Mytilus edulis: one gene and its partners. The protein of the gene in region 1 purifies or fractionates together with the protein of each later gene. This does not show direct contact. Links are inferred from orthologs where the notes say so. Each region holds a gene or a part of one and is shown in the gene's direction. Other genes may lie near its edges. The genes, in order: serine/threonine-protein phosphatase 4 regulatory subunit 2-A-like, pre-mRNA-splicing factor ATP-dependent RNA helicase PRP16-like and protein phosphatase methylesterase 1-like.

Region 1 (6,890 bases):
ATATACCCAAAGAGATTAATTATAGATTTACTATTTTACAACTTAATCCGATGGCTAGTGCGAAACTTACACTCAACTTCAAAAGAAGCAATTATCGTTATTTTGCTAAGTTGAGCCGGAGGACAATAATCCTATTATTATTACATAACATTGGACAATTATATTTACAAAATGTATATTTTATGAGAACCTTTTATAATGTTTTAATACCCTTATCTTTGACTTAATTTATGTTTTGTAAACTGTTGCTGGGACAGTCTTCCCCTAGCTTTCGAACTGTACACTTGTGTTAATAAATTTGTATATATTTTTATACGGTCTTGCGTTTAAAGCAGCCATAGTGTCGATTATAGACCTACAGACTTTAATGTAACCCGTGCCGAAGTTCACGGACTTATGCCGGAATTTCACGGGGTTATAAAAATATGCCGAGGCGATGTGGTTGACAGACTACCGGAGCCAATCACCCTGTAACCACGCCAAAACAGTATTGGAAAGTCTCATTATTTTTTGCGTTCATAGACCATATGATAAGGCAACTGAAGAGTGGAGTCGCGCCAAGTTATCAGAAAATCGCTTCTTTGTGCTGTATCTGCTTCATCGCGTTGTAGGAAATATCACAAACGAACAAATCTCAATATTGTCAGAAACATACGAAACTGACGAATTCAATTGGGAGATCGTTCGATGCCGAACACGTACGCTGGTTTATAACATCTCGCGAGTGCTACCATGCCATGATGGCCCTGAGATCTATCAGTCACGGTACTACGCATGTAATTGAAAACAAATGTACGATCAACAATGAACAACGAAAGTTACATAGCATTACTGCATATTCATGGAATTCAGTGTGAATGTTGACAAAGTAATAAAGAAGCTTGTTTCTGCCCAGACCCGAAGATCAGATTTTGGACAATTTTGAGTAAATTCTGTATCACAAATATGTGTTGTTTATGTATTACTATATTCAGAAGATTTATTAATAGCTTCACATTCATAATTTTTTATCTACACATAGCTCCTCTTTTAACCGTCCTATGACCGAAAACTGAAAAAAAATTCTGCATAATAGGGTCCCAATTTTTTTTCTCACAGTTTGTGTAACTGGTACTTTAAAATTATAAACGCTATATTGAAATGGAAACTGTCGAAAAGCAGGGCCGTAACTACATTGTGGCAAATGAGGCAAATGCCTCATGTTGAAAACTTCAAAAAAAAAAATGAAACAAAAAAATTGTCTTCATATCAAATTGTGTTCACGGAAAGTGTCTTGCAAAAAAGAAAGTTCTCTTCACTCTCTGCTGTCGTCCCTGCATGTTTTTCGTGATCCATATTTCTATTTTACTTTTAGTTTTGTTTTCAGAGTTGATGGTCTATTGTTTGTTATTATGTGTCCCGGGTTTGTCTTTTGTTCATTTATTGTCCTACTTTGTGACGATAGTCTGAGGGTTAATTTCCATTTGTAAACGTGTGGTTTTGCAATGTTGCATGTTAACCGATGTCCAGACATTGTGCGACAAAAATATTTTAAGAATATACGATGCTACTGGACACAGAAAAAACTGGTCGTTTCTGCATGGGGCATTGAACTTGATATCAAAGAATACAAAACTGACTCTTTTTGTAGATAAAACTAAACAGCTGACATGGATTAAATTAAAGTAAGACGACCAATTCATCGGTATCAAATCATCTATAAAAAAAAACATCACTGTATAGCTATATGACCTTTTACATTGAAGGATTAAACTTGCATTAAGTCTTGTTAACAGAAAATAAAGGAATATGGAGAAAACGTACACGGGAACTAATCTCACACAAAGTCAATGCATAGAAAAAATACAAATGACCAATGTTCAAAGTTTTTATTCCTGTTCTTCATCTTGGTAGTAGACGGAGGGTCTTCAACAATAAAAGAATCATTAATACCGTAAAACAAGGTCAAGATGGTTCTTAGTGTCGACTTAGGCAGTACTAGTACTTAAAGTATATTACTGCACTGTCACTATGTTTAAATCTAGTCATTATAAAATCACCAAAGTCTAAGCACAATACAAAACAAGAACAGACAGACAGACCCGGTTTTTATTTCATGAGACTTACGATTTTTGCTTTATCCTACACATCGGTCTGTTAATGATGTTGTCTCCGTAAAACCTAAAAGTCCCAAATTACAATGAATCTACGTTTTTGCTTTGAGACCAGCATATTGTCGGAGAAAAATGGCTAAAATATTAATTGCGTTTCAATGTTAGAAAGAGTCTGGGAAACGCTCAGAATGCATGATTTTGCGTTATTTTTCTCAAAGCTTCTGGGGGTCCTAAGCGGTCCCCAGAACCCCCCCCCCCCCCTCCCCAGACCCCTCGCCGAAAAAAATTCGCCTCGCTACGCTCAGCATATATATTTTGCCTCACTATTAACAGAGGCTAGTTACGGCCCTGAAAAGTGATAGAATATTTCTCTTCGTGAACATTTAGTGACTTTTTTACCTGTTTTGGGGGGTTGTCTCTTATGTCAATATACATGGTAAACAGATTTTCACGTTTTCAATGATATTTGGATTTTTGATATTTTCAAATTTTGTTCGCATCGCTCCGCTCGGCGGTAGTAGCTAACACATCGTTTCGTTCTAAAACACAAGGAAAAGTAATCTCATAATACAACAGCCTTTTCAGGGTAAACGTAATGCTAGCTGTTATACATAATAAATGATAAATACCATGTAAATAAATGTTTCAATTTTTTTTCATCAATATTTACCTTTCTTGTCGCTAGAATTGTTTTCTTTTGCATATTCTTTTAATATTTATTTGGAAAAAGTAATTTTAATTAAAAAAATATGTTTTCTTGTCGCTTCTTGTCGCTAAAATAATTCTTCTTGTCGCGTCTTGACGCTTTTTGTCGCTTAAATTCTTCTTGTCGCTAATTAGTGAGACCTAGGTAAAAGGGAAATCCTAAAATTGAAATTAGGGGGTTTAATTATTTCCTTACGCCTACCATGGCAGTAATATAGTTTAAGCAACACGTTTCCTAGGTTTAAATTTTTATTCAAAATGCATTCAGTGCAATTTTAAAGCAAATTTATTGTAATATTGAATTATCGGAAATGAACTTACCTATCACCCCCAAAGAATGAAATAAGTTGCGCCATAACGTCATTTCCGTGCCGCCATTTGTTGACCTCCAGTTTGAGAATGGAAAACAAAGAGGATATTTTAGACGCTTTGAACGGTAATATATCACAAATTAATGACTAAAGATAAGCAATGACAAGTGTAGTATTGAACTACACGATAGTACTCTGTTTTGAATTTGATTCCTTAAAAAAAGACGTGAATTTAATAGTACTTTATTTTTTCTTTCAGAATTTGAGAAGAAACCATGCACAGAAATCCCTCCATTGTTAGACCAGTATCTGCATCAAGTTGCAAAAACAGGAAAAACTTTGTATGTTTTATTATAAGATTGACCTAGGTTATATGTCGTACTGTAGTCAATATATGCATACTTCATTTGACAATTGAAGCCCCCCACCCCATGGCAAATTATCTCAAGATTAAATAAAGTTATCAAATCATTTAATTGACATAATGTCAATTAAATGATTTGATACCTTACCTTGGCTTTAAAATTAGTTTTTAGAAAACCTGAGTTTTGGTTTGAATAACTGACCAAATCATAGGCTAAAGGAGAACAAATAACTATGGCGTAGGAAGGTGTCAATGAAAAAGTAAAATATTAATGCCTCTCAAGACGCTTTCGAGACGTTTGACCACAAACCAATCCAGCTAAACACCACTTGGGCATTGATCATTTCAGTTCGTTAAGAAGTCTCAGACCCGGTTGTGATGTCACTGCAGATCTGAGAAGTGTTTATAGTCATCATTTTGTAACATAACTTCATCTTTATAAAAAATCTAAATTTGATGTCATATCCTTGCTCTACATGTATTTATTGATAGGGACAGAAATAATGAATTGTATACATGTACATGTAGCAACAAACTTTCATCTTCTCACCGTTTGACTCGCCATAGCCAAACAAGATGAGGCCGTGGACTCACCATCAAAATTCCTTTAATAGTGAGAACCCTGATTAACCCTTTCACCGATAGCTGCCCAGACTGAAGCTACTCTGAGACGATGGCTTCCCTGGCTACTATTACTTAACCCTTTCCTCCATAGTGACACCTTTTGACGCCACCCCCTTTACTCCATAATGACGCCTGTGTAGTACCTCTGTTGAAACGCTTTGACTACAAAGTGTCTGCAGTTGACTTAATAAAATTTGTATCCAATATGAAAAGGAATAACATAGGAATATCTGACTTAAATTTATTTGAAGAAATATTTGTTTTTCGCAATGCATTAATACTTTAAAGTATATGTTCAGCATTTTATTAAAAAAATCCTATGCGAATCAAGTATGCAAAAAAAAAATTTCAATGGAGGAAAGAGTTAAGTTGGAGATCTTCATATTAAATGTCAATAAAAACTTGTTTGTAGTTATTTGTGTATTTATTTTTTTCACTAACACTATGTTCACAGTTTTGTTCATGTTTTGATAATTTTTCTTCATAAAATATTCAAATTTTCAAATTTTCGGCATTATCTAGGTGAAATTATCAAAATTCTGCTCTTTGACCCCAAGTTGTAATTTTTTAACCCAAAACGGCAAAATTTTGAAAAATTTTACTAGGCTGTACAAATTCCTCACACTGAACGATGTCCATTCCAAGTGTTTCGTACATAAAACAACATTTTATGTCCAAAAAGTATACTAGTTTGGCTTCAATTCTTCCATATTCTTTCAAAAAAAATGTTCCCTCATTTCAAATTCTCGTAAATTCAGTAAATTTCCTCTGATTTTGACACAGTTTTCAACATGTAGAAGCGCCATGTTTACACTTTCATCCGGATATTTATCAAAGAAAGATAACTCATGTTAGCACTGTTTTGAGCGGGAAATATAAAAGAGGTATTCCGATTCCCGGTAAAACGGGACTCATCGTCAGCTGTCTGAAGCGTGAATCCCGGTAAACCGGTACTCATCGGCGAAAGGGTTAGGATACAAATATATTATTTTTTTTGTTTTAACAGAAACAACTCAAATTTAAACTAAGTTTTCTAGTGCCCATATATCCGCGATCGGAACCTGCACTATGTAACATACAGACAAGACTGAAATCATAAAGATGCTTGATCATTTTATTGACAACACAGTTTGGTACTTTTAATTTTAAACTGTGGAAGATTAATAACTTCCATTGTCCTCAGTTTGAATGCACATATAGTTGAAGATTTTTGGAGGTCTATTTTTATATGCAAGAAATTGAAAAAAGTCACATGTACATGTATAATTTTATAATACTTATTTTTTCAGATTTCCATGGCATCAGCTGAAAAAGTTATTTGTGGCAAAAGTTGATCTAGTCATGACACAGTTCAAGGAGACCAGTCCAACAGACTTATTGCAGACAACACCAAATATTGAGCCAGTAAAATATGACGAAATGAGAAGGAGAATCCTGTCCTTAATGGATGAATTTCAAGGGTAAAAAAATCCTAACCTACGATTTTGTCTCATACAAAATTTCTCAGAGATGATTAAACATGAAAATGTCATAAGTTGATTACATGAAACTGAGGTTTGGCTTTATAAGGAATAAATTTGAAGCCATTGTCCTTTGTGTCAAAGGGGAGGTAATCTCCCTTACTTATATATTGAAATATGTGGTAATAATCTCTTTATGATAAAATTGAGGTTTTGCAGAATTTGACATGGTAGTAAGTCAGGACGTTTTGTATTTTAGTCATTTTCATGACTTTACACTTACATGTACAGCTACAACTGAAATATAAGTGAACCACTGACTTCAAAATGAGTCAATTGTTATCTCTTGGTTTCGAAAAAGAAATCAAATGCCTGAAGTGGATGATAATCAATCTGCAGAACACACCCTTTTATAGCTAGAATAGTTCAACATTTTATTAAATATAATGACCCTTTAGAAAAAACCTGAATCAATTGTAATAATTGCCATTTTAACAGAACATCTAAAGGTTCAAATCCTAGAAAAGGTCTATTGTGAGAATACGATACAATGTACCAATATATAAGTAGAGACCAGGGAACTTAATTGGGGATATGTAATTTTGATTTAAGTTATATTATTCTTATTTTTACATTTAGGGCACCATTTACTGTTCAAAGGCTTTGTGAATTAATCAATGAACCAAAAAGGCATTATAAAAGATGTGACAAATTTTTGAGAGGCATTGAAAAGGTAAGACATTTAAGCTCACCTGGTTCTAAGCATTTGTTAGTTACCAGTATATCATCTCCATTTGTCCACATCCATTATACCAAACTTGTTTTCAAAACAAACTTTTCAATTATAATAGTAGTACAGATGAGTTTTTGTGTAAAAAAGTATTAAAATAATTTTCAATTTATTCTTTCAGTCCTGTATGTTCGGATGCAAGTACATTTATAAATGCAAAGATTTCAATATATTTACTTTATCAAATTATTTGACATGTTAGATTTAGAGGACACATCCCCAACCCATGGTTAAATATAAACAAATCTATAGCTGATAAGTATAATTTTGATTCGAATAGGACAAATATAGTAATTTTGCCAACCATGAAAACCCTATAAACACAATACTGTCCTGACTATAATAACAAATAAAATAAAATCACTTTTTTTCACCTTAAAATATTCTTTTTATCTTATTTTAATATTATATTCTGAGGGGAACAGAAGCCTGAAAATAAACATTAGAGATAACAGTATTGTATTTGAAGCTTGGCCTACGTAAAACTCAGTTTTCAATGTGGCAATTTATGTTTACCTGGGCCGAGGCTGGTGGTACACATGA
Region 2 (6,890 bases), on another chromosome or scaffold:
CTAACATGAGTAACAAAGTATCGAAAGTTAATAGAAGAAATTTATTGCATAATTTTCGAAACTGTTCAGACAAATTCTGTACAATCTAATGCAGGTTTAACACATTAAAAAAACATTACAATATAATAAGTTAAACAATCATGTAAACACTAGAACTAACTCTTTTGCTGCAATATTCTGTAAAAATGCATTTGCAACAATCTTACCCTTATTTACTAAACATGTACAGTGGCACTCTTCAACAACAGTATTGTTAAGACTTACATTACATATCAATTATATCATATAAAACTTGATAATCAGTAAATAACACTTTAAAAAGATGAACAATACATACTTAGGACTTTGGGGTTCAGATTCTTTAGGTTATTGTTAAACAGATGTAATTTCTCCAACATAGTGAGATACTCCAAAACTTCTGGTAAGTCTTCAAGTTCATTGTTTCCACAGTTCAGTATCTGTAACTATAAAACAAAAAGATATTTTGTTATTACATGTGGCCTTATTAAAATAAGAAAGAACAGGTCTTGTCACAATACATATGCTATATGATGTTACAGATTGGTTAATGTCTACTGAACTTTGGTCAGCCTGTATAGCTTATTCATTAAAAACAGCTCAAGATGTGTCTTTGTAAAACCTCGGTTCCCTATCATATTATAATATTCTAATTAAGGAAAGGGAATTATCTGATGCATTGTATTGGTACATAGATGGTACATTTGTATTACAAATTAGTATCTGATACCTAAAACATAATACAAAAGATAAACTGTAAGGCCATAACATACAAATGTACCTGTTTCAGGGGAGATAAATAGCATCTTAATTTTCCACTTTTACATTTTGAGTGTTACCTATTTTTTTGACTTATAGAATAAATTTTTTTTTACTTAGTCATAAAAATTGAATTTAATCAGATTCAAATTAAAGGTCCAAGTTGTCATTTTCATAAAATCTTGTCAAAAAAGGAGTAAATACTCTCCCGTTATTCTTTGAATTACTGGGAGTAAACTAGTCTGCCATTCCATCTTAATCTCAGCACAGAAAGGAACAGGTTGGGGTCATTGTCACATTGACAATAACTCCAACCCCGTTTATTAATTTGATGAATCTTACAAACATATTACAAATACTACAATTCACCATGAAATTGACCAATTATATTAATAGGAACTTGACCTCAAATGTTAATACTGCGATGCCACACAATAAATAAGTAGCTGTTAATTAACACTATGGTGGCTGAACAGATAAATGCTGCACGAGTGCACATGTGTTATCATATTCTGAATCCGGGTCCGTTCGCGCCCATTCACGTTCGCACCCACTCATGTTCGCCCCCTTTCACTTTCGCACCCTACATGTTTCCACCCAAAAACCGTTCGCACCCTACATGTTCACGCCCAATTTTAATTGGTTTTGTGTTTAATAACTTTGTAATCAAGTTTTGGCAAGTATTATTCTTATAAGTATAATTGTTTTCATTGTCTCAGAATAAAGTGAGACAGCATTTTTCTTTTGTGTTGAAATGTTTTGGATAGTGTATTGTTAAAAAAAAAATATTCCTTTCTATATAAAGTGGGATTCTGTCAACGTTTTATTTTGTGTTGAATAACTCTTAATCATGTTTTGGTTTATGTATTGCTATAACTTTATTCAATGACTTGTTTCAAAATGAAGTGAGATTCTGACTACGTTTTTATTTTTTGTGTGTTGAATAAATTTTATCATGTTTTGGTTATAATAGTGTATTGCTATATTTTATTGTTTCATTGTTTCAGATCAAAGGGACCAAGCTGTTAAAAACAATTATCTTTTGTGTTTTTCATTTAAAATCTTCAAATGTTTACTCATACCAAGCTATAAATACATTCAGTATTTACACGAAAGCAATTAAAAACAACAATCATGATTTTCCAATTATTCAACTGGAATTTGAATTAAAATTGGGCGCGAACGTGTAGAGTGCGAACGTGTAGGGTGCGAAAGTATATTGGGCGCGAACGGACCTGATACCTCATATTCTCGACAAACTGAGCCGGTATTTTTCATTTACATTAATACTCAGTATGGATATGCTAATTTCTTTTCTGAGTTGTTACACCTGAATAAGAAACATTAACTCTGATAACAAATTTGTTTACAGAATTTAAAATTATATTTTATGGGAAATATCAACCTGAAACAAATGGCTAAGTTCTATAGGTAAATCCTTCAATTTATTCCCTCTCAACTGCAAGTGTACAACACAGTCTAATTTTCCAATGGCCCTTGGAACCTTGTCAAGTTTCTTATTACACAAATTCAACGTTTTTGGTTTCCCTTTCAATGCACGGACTAGCAAGGTGTCCGCCATATTGACGCTTTCTTGTTGCTAACTTTTAAGGTGTGTTCGAAAAACATCTATTTGTAAATATAAAATAAATGTTTCTTTATTCCATTTTTAAGATATTGAAAGACTATGTAGGTATATGCTTTAAAATATTCTGATATGAATACTCTCAATAATTCTACGATAAAGGAAAAAAATAATAAACATTGAATATTTATGATATTTACAGAAATTTTTTCGATCGCACCTTATCATTTTCGTGGTTTCTTAAATTGGAGAGTGTTTCCGGTTAAAGTTTCAAAACGTTTTTTGCATGATTTACTATTTATGTTTCAAAGTTGGTGTTGTTAGATAAAACCTGCTAAATATGCCTATGAGATATATTTCCAATTAATACTTCCCCAGTGTAATAAGGATAAACACGTGTCAAGTCATAAAACATCTAAAATATTTAGCAAAACCACATCATGGGACATGATCTGATGATGTTTGATTTGTACAAGTAATTGTAAATCATGCCTCTTACTTCTACAGTGCAGGTGTAAAAAAACTTAATTTCACAATGACAAGTTTCGTAGATCCAGATGACGATCCTGAATTACACAGATTGGAGGGTTCATTGGGCAAAGAAAAGGGTGGACTTGTTATAATGAAAAAGAAATCAGAACATGGAGACTTTCAATTCAAGAAACCATCACTTCCCAAGGTATCGCTATTGGGACTTGATAAATTGGCAGCAGAAAAAAGGAAATTAGATATCAAAAGTGAAAATACAACAAAAAGATCAAAGGTGACATCATATACAGACAGCAAAGATGAAAGTGATAGTAGTGACTCAAGTAGTGATGAAGAAGATAATAAATTGTCAAAGCATAAAAGTCGTAAAGAAAGGTGGGTTTAATTTACACACATCAAAATCGAATAAGATAATAGAGGATGATAGTATAAGGCAGGGTAATCTCATAAAGGAGACAGGGTCACTCAGTCACCATCAGCTAATCCTTTAGCAAGATTTCTTTACGACTTTTATATTTATCCTGTATCATCATATTCATGCATATAAACATTGGATTGTAAACAAAGAAATGCAATCTTCAGGCAGTGTTTAAGTGTAGTTAAATTTAAGATAATAAATTGTCAAAGCATAAAAGTTGTAAAGAAAGGTGGGTTTAATTTACACACATTAAAATCGGATAAGATAATAGAGGATGATAGTATAAGGCAGGGTAATCTCATAAAGGAGACAGGGTCACTCAGTCACCATCAGCTAATCCTTTAGCAAGATTTCTTTACAACTTTTATATTTATCCTGTATCATCATATTTAAAACATGCTTATATATCATGTATATGCATAAAACAAGTTATCTATTCTTTATTATTTTGATAGTTTGAAATTGTATTTTTTAAAGGCAGGGAAATGCACACTTTTCTGATAGTTTTCAAAGTTTTCCTTTAGTTATTCTGGTTGTGTATATTAACCCTAAATTCTTTGCCCAAATATTGATAACCAAGACGTGAAATAAAGTCTGAAGAATTTTTGAATTTGTAAGAATAAAACTATCTATATAGCTAGCACTCACATATTTAAAAAAATACAAATTGTCATGATTGTTATTTATAGTTCAGGTCTTGACAATAACGCTTGCCCTATTGTCTGTTACCAGAGTAAAAAAAGGTCGGTCAAGTTAAAGCTATATCAACCTTGTCGACAAGTAAAATTATTTTGCAGAAAAAATCAATTTAATCAAACTTTGATGAACAAAGTAGTTGTAAACAAAAAACAAAAAAAAAAGAAGATAAAAACAAGTACATGTATTAATTTGACATGTTTACTTGCAATCGACAATAAAAACTGGTTCTTTGTCAGGTACTATTTGACAGGTAAAAGGCATACTATTCTGATCCAATGGACCAAATCAGTATGCGCTTTGTAGATGAGGTAACTTTACAAGACAGTTCGTCACCAGCTTGGAATTAAGACATTCAGCCCCAATTTTAATAGACAGTTTGGCACTGTATGAGACATGATTAATAGACAGTTCGGGACCAAGACCTTGTTTCCCTACAATTTTCTGTTGCATTATAATAATTACCATACCAGTAATTTTTTTAACAAAATTATTTTAAAAGTAGAAATGAATTTATTGACCATAAGATTTACAAAATCATATTTGACCATATGTAGAAAAAACAATACTTGGTGACCTACAGTTGTTAATTTCTGTGTCATTTGGTCTCTTGCAGAGAGTTGTCTGATTAGCAATCATACCTTATCTTTTTTTTTAGCTAACCTGGCGTTCGTCAACCGTAGTCGACGTCGTCCGTCGTCGTTAACTTTTACAAAAATCTTCTCCTCTGAAACTACTGGGCAAATTTAACCAAACTTGGCCACAATCATCATTGGGGTATCTAGTTTAAAAATTGTGTCCCGTGACCCGGCCAACCAACCAAGATGGCCCCCATGTCTAAAAATAGAACATAGGGGTAAAATGTAGATTTTGGCTTATAACTCTGAAACCAAAGCATTTAGAGCAAATCTGACATGGGGGTTAAATTGTTTATCAAGTGAAGATCTATCTGCTCTGAAATTTTCAGATGAATCAGACAACCGGTTGTTGGGTTGCTGCCCCCCAATTGGTAATTTTCAAAGAAATTTTGCCGTTTTTGGTTATTATCTTGAATACTATTATAGATAGAGATAAACTGTAAACAGCATTAATGTTCAGCAAAGTACGATCTACAAATAAGTCAACATGACCAAAATGGTCAGTTGACCCCTTAAGGAGTTATTGCCCTTTATAGTCATTTTTTTACCAATTTTTCATAAATTTTTGTATCTTTTACAAAAATCTTCTCCTCTGAAACTACAGGGCCAAATTTAACCAAACTTGGCCACAATCATCATTGGGGTATTTAGTTTAAAAAATGTGTGCGGTGACCTAGCCAACCAACCAAGATGGCCACCATGGCTAAAAATAGAACATAGGGGTAAAATGTAGATTTTGGCTTATAACTCTGAAACAAAAGCATTTAGAGCAAATCTGACAGGGTTAAATTGTTTATTAAGTCAATATCTATCTGCCCTGAAATTCTCAGATGAATCAGACAACCGGTTGTTGGGTTGCTGCCCCCCAATTGGTAATTTTCAAAGAAATTTTGCCGTTTTTGGTTATTATCTTGAATACTATTATAGATAGAGATAAACTGTAAACAGCATTAATGTTCAGCAAAGTACGATCTACAAATAAGTCAAACATGACCAAAATGGTCAGTTGACCCCTTAAGGAGTTATTGCCCTTTATAGTCATTTTTTTACCAATTTTTCATAAATTTTTGTATCTTTTACAAAAATCTTCTCCTCTGAAACTACAGGGCCAAATTTAACCAAACTTGGCCACAATCATCATTGGGGTATTTAGTTTAAAAAATGTGTGCGGTGACCTAGCCAACCAACCAAGATGGCCACCATGGCTAAAAATAGAACATAGGGGTAAAATGTAGATTTTGGCTTATAACTCTGAAACAAAAGCATTTAGAGCAAATCTGACAGGGTTAAATTGTTTATTAAGTCAATATCTATCTGCCCTGAAATTCTCAGATGAATTGGACAACTGGTTGTTTGGTTGCTGCCCCCCAATTGGTAATTTTCAAAGAAATTTTGCCGTTTTTGGTTATTATCTTGAATACTATTATTGATAGAGATAAACTGTAAACAGCAATAATGTTCAGCAAAGTACGATCTACAAATAAGTCAAACATGACCAAAATGGTCAGTTGACCCCTTAAGGAGTTATTGCCCTTTATAGTCAATTTTTACCAATTTTTCATTAATTTGGTAAATTTTTGTAAATTTTTACAAAATAATTTCCTCTGTTACTAATGGGCAAAGTTCATTATAGATAAAGATAATTGTTAGTAGCAAGAACGTTCAGTAAAGTAAGAACTTCAAACACATCACCATCACCAAAACACAATTTTGTCATGAATCCATCTGTGTTCTTTGTTTAATATGCACATAGATCAAGGTGAGCGACACAGGCTCGTAAGATCCTCTAGTTTATTGATTGCATAAATTTGAATTAACTTTTTTCAACATAAAAAAACAGGATACAAATCAAATGAGTGTATATATTGACAGGCCTATCAGATGGTGCCTCATGTGCAAAGTCTGGTCAGACTTTGGCATTGATAAAAACTAGAACCTAAGTCCTGTGACATGACTAGATTCAGTTGTTCTCGACTCATATTTTTGAAAAGTATTTCAAAAGAAATAAGTCAAATTCTGTTCTATTGTTTTACTTTATTTTGTTCCTTGAATTAACTTAAAATACAAAAAAGGTTATTATTAAGATTTTTTTTGGACAAGTTACAATTTGATTCGGACAAGTAAGTTTTGGTATGTAGTTGCCTGTAGTTTATGAATTAATTCATATATTAAAAACTTATTTTATCATGTTTATACATAATTAATTTCTTCATTCACATTTTTCAAAAATGGTAATAATGAATGCAGGTAATAATTTCTGAATTTCCCTGGATTGAAAATACTGTTA
Region 3 (6,890 bases), on another chromosome or scaffold:
TGATTTATGACTGATTGATTCAGATCACAAAAGTTCACTATAAAAAAGGAGTTACGTGCCCTTGAATTTTGCGCCTTAAAAAATTCCTGGGGAGAACACTGCATCTGGTCCGGTCATTGTCGAGGTTGGTCATGTCAGTCAGCGATGGTCATGTCACGTTTTCTAAAGTTTTTGAAAAAAAATTTTTATTTTTTATAACATTTTGGTTTAATTATATGACATATCATTTTATGTTTCAAATCTGAGATAATTCCTTTGAAAAATAAAAAAGTTATTAGCATTTTTATTTGATCCTGTCATTGTCGACGTTGGTCCTGTCATTATCAGAGTTGGTCCTGTCACGTTTTCTAAAGTTTCTTACAATTTTTTTTTATTTTTTTCTTAAATCTATATATTAAATGATGAAATCTTATTATATTTCAAATTTCAGAAAAATATTCTGAGAAATACAAGAGTAATTAGCAATATCATCTGGTCCGGTCATTGTCGAGGTTGGTCATGTCAGTCAGCGATGGTCATGTCACGTTTTCTAAAGTTTTTGAAAAAAATCTATATTTTTTATAACATTTTGGTTTCATAATATGACATATCATTTTATATTTCAAATCTGAGATAATTCCTTTGAAAAATAAAAAAGTTATTAGCATTTTTATTTGGTCCTGTCATTATCATAGTTGGTCATGTCACGTTTTCTAAAGTTTCTTACAATTTTTTTTAATTTTTTTACAAATCTGTATATCAAATGATGAAATCTGATTATATTTCAAATTTGAGATCAATCCTTTGAGAAATGAAAAAGTTATTAGCATTTTTCAATTGGTCCTGCAGTGATTTTCCAACCCTCATTTTGGGGCCGAATTTCGGCCCCATTCCCAAAGAGAAATATGCTCTTTTTTTCCCAATTTTCAGCTCTAAAATTCCCAATCGTATATGGACATCGTCGCAAGATTTTGTTATTGTCGTATCTCCGTATCGTGTATTATTTTGTTGACAAATCTCTGAGCGTTCGGGCTATTTCAGGAGTTATCATTATCGTTCACTTAAGACGATGATTGGTTTGCAATCTTTTTTGGATTGAATTGCAATCTACGATATTCTGGTCACGTTTGCGCTTGAGACATAATGTAAACAAAATGAACGTAGATCATGTCTCATAATTCCAAATATTACACAAAGAAGCTAAAGGCGGCGGACGGTAGTAAATGCCGGAAGCTGGAAGCTTTTGGATTCAAAAAGTCGTTTCTACTTCCTTCTGATGAAACAAGTGAAAAAAGGAAAAGACCGACTCTCAGATACAGAACTGGAACAACTAGTTGACATGTTTAAAAATAAACATGAAGGAAAACTTGGAATTTTAAATAAAACTAAAAAATAAATGCTTCAGATTTCAAATGTGTCTTTTTAGAATTTCTATAGATTCTCATCATTATAAATAGAATCAGAAGTAATTGTTGAATTTTACCTTTCAAGAGTAAAGTTACAAAGCATGAGTGCATGCAAATGTGTCCTCAGACACATTCAACTTTTATTTTTAATCCTTTTCCTTAAAGCTTATTTTGTAGGCAATTCATGCAGTTAATCCTTCTCAGAATGCAGGATTTTGCACCTAATTTTCAAAATTTTCTTGGGGGGGGGGGGGCATGCCCCCAAACCCCCCTAGCGAGGCGCACACGGCTGCCGTGTGCCCGCCGTCGTAAAGACCAATCATATTTTTCCCAATTGCATGGGCCCTAGGACCCTTCTCCTAAACACCAGGAAAATCACTGTCCTGTCATTCGGTCCAGTCATTAGTGTAACCCAATTCAACCATATAAAATTGTGCAAAAAGTATTGAAATATATTACTCCATTTTAACTGAAACTTGAATTTACAAGAATGCATAATAAAAGTTATGTGCGAATGAATTATGAGGCTTCAATAATTGCCTTTTTTCAGTGATATTAATGAACGCGTAAAATTGCCCTTTTTCCAATGACATTTACGCCTAAAATTGTCATTTTAAAATAACAATGCTCATATTAAGTCTATGGTTTACATATAATATGTAAAATTCCACAGAATCACCAACAGGAAGGGACAAGGTAGTGTACTTACAGCTTCCCACACCTCCCCCTTTTCTTAATATTTAACCATGATATAACTAAATTGCGCCATATTGGAAACCTATGACAGATCGAAATGCATTTATTTCATGCTATGTTTACAGATAGGAAACAGAACTGATGCGATATTAACTGACTATAAATGTACATAATTGCCGCCAACCTGCTGATTTTTAAACATGTATAAACATGGTCAAAATGTAAACAAACACTTTTAACAGGGGTATACCTTGTTTTTTCGTTGACTTAGTGCCTTTTTGTTTCTTTTTCACCATATTAAAGAATTTAATGGGTTACATCATTCCTAAAATAATGAGAATATATGCACAGAATAGCTATATTTTGCAGAAACATAGCTGTTACCAGCCAAACATTCTTCTCGGACTGTCCGCCATTCTGAATCTCGCAAGTGCGAGACTTATTTTTACTGATATAATTTTCGTAGTTTATATTATTTAAACAACTGATGTTTAATTTTAACGGTAAAAAATGAGAATCCAAATAATTAATCAATGTTTGGGTTGAAAATTTATTATATTTATAATAAACAAAACAAAACAAAAACGGGCACTTTCCGGAACAAGATGTCTGCTATGGAAAAACAAGCTTTGAAAAACAAACTGGGAGGTTTACCACCAATGCCACCACCTGGTGTAGGGTGAATACACATTTAAATTTGCAGTTTCATTATTGCATGAACAGCTGAATAACACCATAACATGTCATTACAGATAAACAAGAACTAATGGCAGAAATACCATAAATTTAAAATAGTCTTTCAGAAAAAAAGTTGTACTCTCTATATTCAGTACATACTAGTCAAACACACCATAAACTGCCCAGACCAGTGTTGAAATAGCTATTTAAGCCATATCACCACATTGGCGGATCCAGGGGAGGTTCCGGGGGGTTGGAACCCCCCTTTTTTTTGGCCGATCAATGCATTTGATTGGGGACATATAGTTGGAACCCCCCCTCCTTTTGTACTGGGTTGGGACCCCCCTTTTTAAAATGGCTAGATCTGCCCCGTCACCATACGTTTAAACAGATGCAACTTCTGTATTCTGTAGGTGTCGCTGTTGACACTTGATTGTCTCCCTTGTAATTATTCAAGTCTCGCATGTATATATATATTTCACTCTGGTAAACAACTCACTTGTACTTTAAAATATATACTATTAGGTGGCAACTGTGCTTAACATATTTTTACAAAATTAAAAAATATATATACATTTATTAATTAACATGAAAATTTAAAGGAAAAAAAAAATCTAACATTAGTCATTACATTAATCAAACCGGCGCGACTCGCAAATAAAGTCACCCAACAATCGCATTAGTGTTTCATTAGAGACGGAGACATTGTCGTTTTTTTCTATTGACAATAAAAGTTCCAAATCAATATGCAACGATCCTGTGTTGAAGTATATCTCATGTATAAGTTTCTGTCTTGCTTGTTCATAATTTTCACAAAATAATAAATAATGTTCCACAGTTTCTAATTGACCACATTCACACTTGGGGTCTATATTTTGATTGATTTTATTTTGGTAATTTTTTAGGTAGTATCCGGATCTTAAATTTCTAATAATTTTTGCTGTTTTATGATCTGGATAATCAAATGTCAATTTTTTGTTGACAGTCTGATGAAAGTTATAATAAAATCTTCCTGTATCACTATTATCCCATCTATGTTGCCTACTATTATCCCATCTATGTTGCCACTTTTTATTTACTAAAATTCTTGCTGCTGTTTTAATATCTTGTTTAGTTACTGTAATATGAGCTTCTTTCTGAATTTGATTTGATTAGAGGGTGGTAAGGCAGCAACAATTTGATTTTCATTTCGGGACAGTGACCTTGACCTCATTTTCATGGTTCATTGGTCAATGTTAAGTTTTTGTTTTGTTTTTGTTAGTTTTTTCAAATATGATCATGATTATAAGCATATAAGCAATTGTTGGGGTGGAGATTGTCCTTGTAAATACTTAATTGACAACTTACCCACATCTCTTGATTTTTTGTGAAATCAGAAGAAGTCCATATATCTAATTATAATTTATGACGGCGCTGCTGCTTGCTACTAGGCTATGTTTATCTGCAAAAAAAAATAAATTTAGAAACAATAATTGTTTATTCTGCTACAAATTGCCAAAATTCATATCGGGACAGTGACCTGACTTTATTTGGATATTGCAAGTAACACTATAGTAACATTGGAAAGAAGACCACAAATACAAAAACTTAACATTGACCAAGGAACCTGCCAGACTGAAATGTACCCATTGATAATGAAAATTGTATATGGAATGACTGTCATGATTACAGGTTCATTTGTCAATGTTAAGTTTTTGTATTTTGGTCTTTTTTCCATTACTATACAGTACGGGTAGGGACTTATTTTTATGGATGTCTTAATCCGTCTAGTCGGATATGAATAATCGGACATTTTTATGGTAGGTAGTATGTTCATTAAACAACAGATCCAGGTGTGAATGGTCCTTTCATCTTAATCCGTGTTGCTAAAATTACGGTTCACTGATTTCAGAATCAGATTACCTGTAATTTTAACCTCTCAGTCACTTTATTGATTATATTAGTTCGACATCGTATTTGACATAAAATATTTTTACAGGTGAAGTACTGGAGAAAACATTGTTTAATAAAAATAGCCAATTTTTGTTAATTATGGTTTTGATATTTCAACTGTTAATATTTATTTTCTTTGTTCCTAAAAATTATTTTTATTTTATGTTCCTTTTCGTTTGGTTTTTTTTTGTATCTTTTTGTTATTTGTTTGCATAAATTGTTTAAACATATATATTTTTACATGTATTCTATTTCTTGAAGCTTACGGTTATTTTTATTTTACTGATTTATTTTCCACGTAAATCCATTGATTAGCAGAATGCTATCTCAAGTGCTGCTGCATACATTTTAGTTTGACGCGGTCACATGCAAAATATTTCTAAAATTTGTATTTAATATTCTGTCTGTTGTGTCAGTTCCGAGATAAAAAATAATTACAGTGAGCAACTTTTGTATATTATTAGTAGCTTGATGATTCTTTGTAGTTTTTACTTTTTACTGTAAACAAATATTGTCCGAAAGTTGGAGATGTATGACTAAAATAGAACGCAAATAATAACACTAGAAGAAAATATTGATTCTTCCCGGGCATAAGTTTATTTTAAGATTTCCGTGTTTGTTCATTATGCTAAATTAATATAATTGATCTGCATTTGGGGGTAGGGGTAAAAGGGGTCCGGATCTCGAAATCCCGGGCTTAAAAACACGAAGTCACAAGGTCCCGAATTTAAATAAATTTAAATCCCGACATCGCGAAAAAAGAATTCCCAGATCCCGAAAGGGTTAATCCCGAAATCCCGAACTTATTTGCATAATATTAATTTACGCACAATCCATGTAACAAAGGAAACTTGTATGTTATATTTTTTATAGCAATCTAAAAGAAAAAATTGCCGTGAAAAGACAATTCCATGATACACATATCAGTGATCAACAGCGTGTGCACGTGGTTGAACTTTAACTTGACTCCACTCACAATAATATTGAATGCTAATAAAAGATATTAAAGATCGATTTTGTCCACTGCACGAGATTTTTATATGGCGGGAAATGTCGTAACAGTAAACACAGGTGACCTTACTGACCGACCGTGGGAAAATTCATTCATGATTAAATTTGATGTGGAATGATTGACAGTATTGTGTTTTAGTTTTGAGGCTCTTGATCGATTTACCAGAATAGAAATTTAATCGATTTACATACATGTATAATAAAAACACGATTTAGTCTTCTTTAACTATTTTTTGTTTTATTTTTATCAGTCATTTCCCGGATTCCCAATTAAATAATCTATTTGGAGACCTCCTTTAAACTTCGGAAATAATACAACATCGATTTAAAAAATCAAACTGACTGCGCGAGCTTTAGAATGACTAGAAGTACGACGAAAAAGTAAAGACAGCTGATCATGACTAGTACGAATAGCCTTCAACCCCATTGGGGTATAAATGTGCATTTAGTCAATAAACTATATAAGGTTAAACTTTGATTTTCGTGTATCGATTTGATACAATTTGTAAAATATATTTATAACACCGGCGATTTTCATAAAATATTTTAGACATGAAAATAGAAAGGCATATTATCTCGAGTGTCAACAATTTTAAATAAAATAAAAAAAATAGGAATCGAAATATGATCTCGGCGTTATAAATATTGTATTAAAGGAAACCAATTGTTTGACTTTCAAAGAGATTAACGGGAAATATGTCAAAATAGAAAGCACGAGTGATCTGTCTGACCAAAATGTTTCACTTGCGAGAAATGATTGACAGGTGTGAATAGATGTAGAGGCTCCGACGGGGAAAGTTGTATCAAAAGGAAAATAACTTAATTCCAATCTAATTGAAATTAAATCTCTCACTCGCTATTTTTTTTATTCTTGGTCGCTGCGTGGGAGCCCCGCAGCGACCAAGAATAAAAAAAATAGCGAGTGAGAGATTTAATTTCAATTAGATTGACTTAATTCACAATGCCTATATATATTTGTATATATATGTTGGCCTTATACTTAAAATTGAGTTTCTTATAATAACATATAAAGGAACAGGACGTTAAAAGCGGGAAATAATATAACCATCAACGAAAACTCGTATAATTTACGGGATTGAAGTCTCAACAATTTGATTTAACTTCTATTGAAAACAGTCTTGGTTTTTATTAGGCTTATTATTTTGAATTAGATGAAATATTTACGGT

The links.
Region 2: the proteins of serine/threonine-protein phosphatase 4 regulatory subunit 2-A-like (region 1) and pre-mRNA-splicing factor ATP-dependent RNA helicase PRP16-like purify together in Homo sapiens (affinity purification with mass spectrometry; 3 studies listed by BioGRID and IntAct, counting the BioPlex papers as one, with this or other methods). This does not show direct contact. The link is inferred for Mytilus edulis from reciprocal best matches to the Homo sapiens genes PPP4R2 and DHX38.
Region 3: the proteins of serine/threonine-protein phosphatase 4 regulatory subunit 2-A-like (region 1) and protein phosphatase methylesterase 1-like purify together in Homo sapiens (affinity purification with mass spectrometry; 3 studies listed by BioGRID and IntAct, counting the BioPlex papers as one, with this or other methods). This does not show direct contact. The link is inferred for Mytilus edulis from reciprocal best matches to the Homo sapiens genes PPP4R2 and PPME1.

Annotation. Positions count from the first base shown.
Region 1 is NC_092344.1:52,047,674-52,054,563, forward strand, and holds the start of serine/threonine-protein phosphatase 4 regulatory subunit 2-A-like, read left to right. Parts: upstream 1-3,080; 5' UTR 3,081-3,197; coding exon 3,198-3,234; intron 3,235-3,368; coding exon 3,369-3,450; intron 3,451-5,386; coding exon 5,387-5,557; intron 5,558-6,196; coding exon 6,197-6,290; intron 6,291-6,890. UniProt on the Homo sapiens protein: Regulatory subunit of serine/threonine-protein phosphatase 4 (PP4). May regulate the activity of PPP4C at centrosomal microtubule organizing centers.
Region 2 is NC_092348.1:89,211,869-89,218,758, forward strand, and holds the start of pre-mRNA-splicing factor ATP-dependent RNA helicase PRP16-like, read left to right. Parts: upstream 1-2,607; 5' UTR 2,608-2,897; coding exon 2,898-3,226; intron 3,227-6,890. Other genes in the region: leucine-rich repeat-containing protein 69-like, read right to left, coding at 338-464, 2,183-2,359. UniProt on the Homo sapiens protein: Probable ATP-binding RNA helicase. Involved in pre-mRNA splicing as component of the spliceosome.
Region 3 is NC_092351.1:40,372,145-40,379,034, forward strand, and holds the start of protein phosphatase methylesterase 1-like, read left to right. Parts: upstream 1-2,641; 5' UTR 2,642-2,686; coding exon 2,687-2,760; intron 2,761-6,890. Other genes in the region: C2 domain-containing protein 3-like, read right to left, coding at 2,332-2,377. UniProt on the Homo sapiens protein: Demethylates proteins that have been reversibly carboxymethylated. Demethylates PPP2CB (in vitro) and PPP2CA. Binding to PPP2CA displaces the manganese ion and inactivates the enzyme.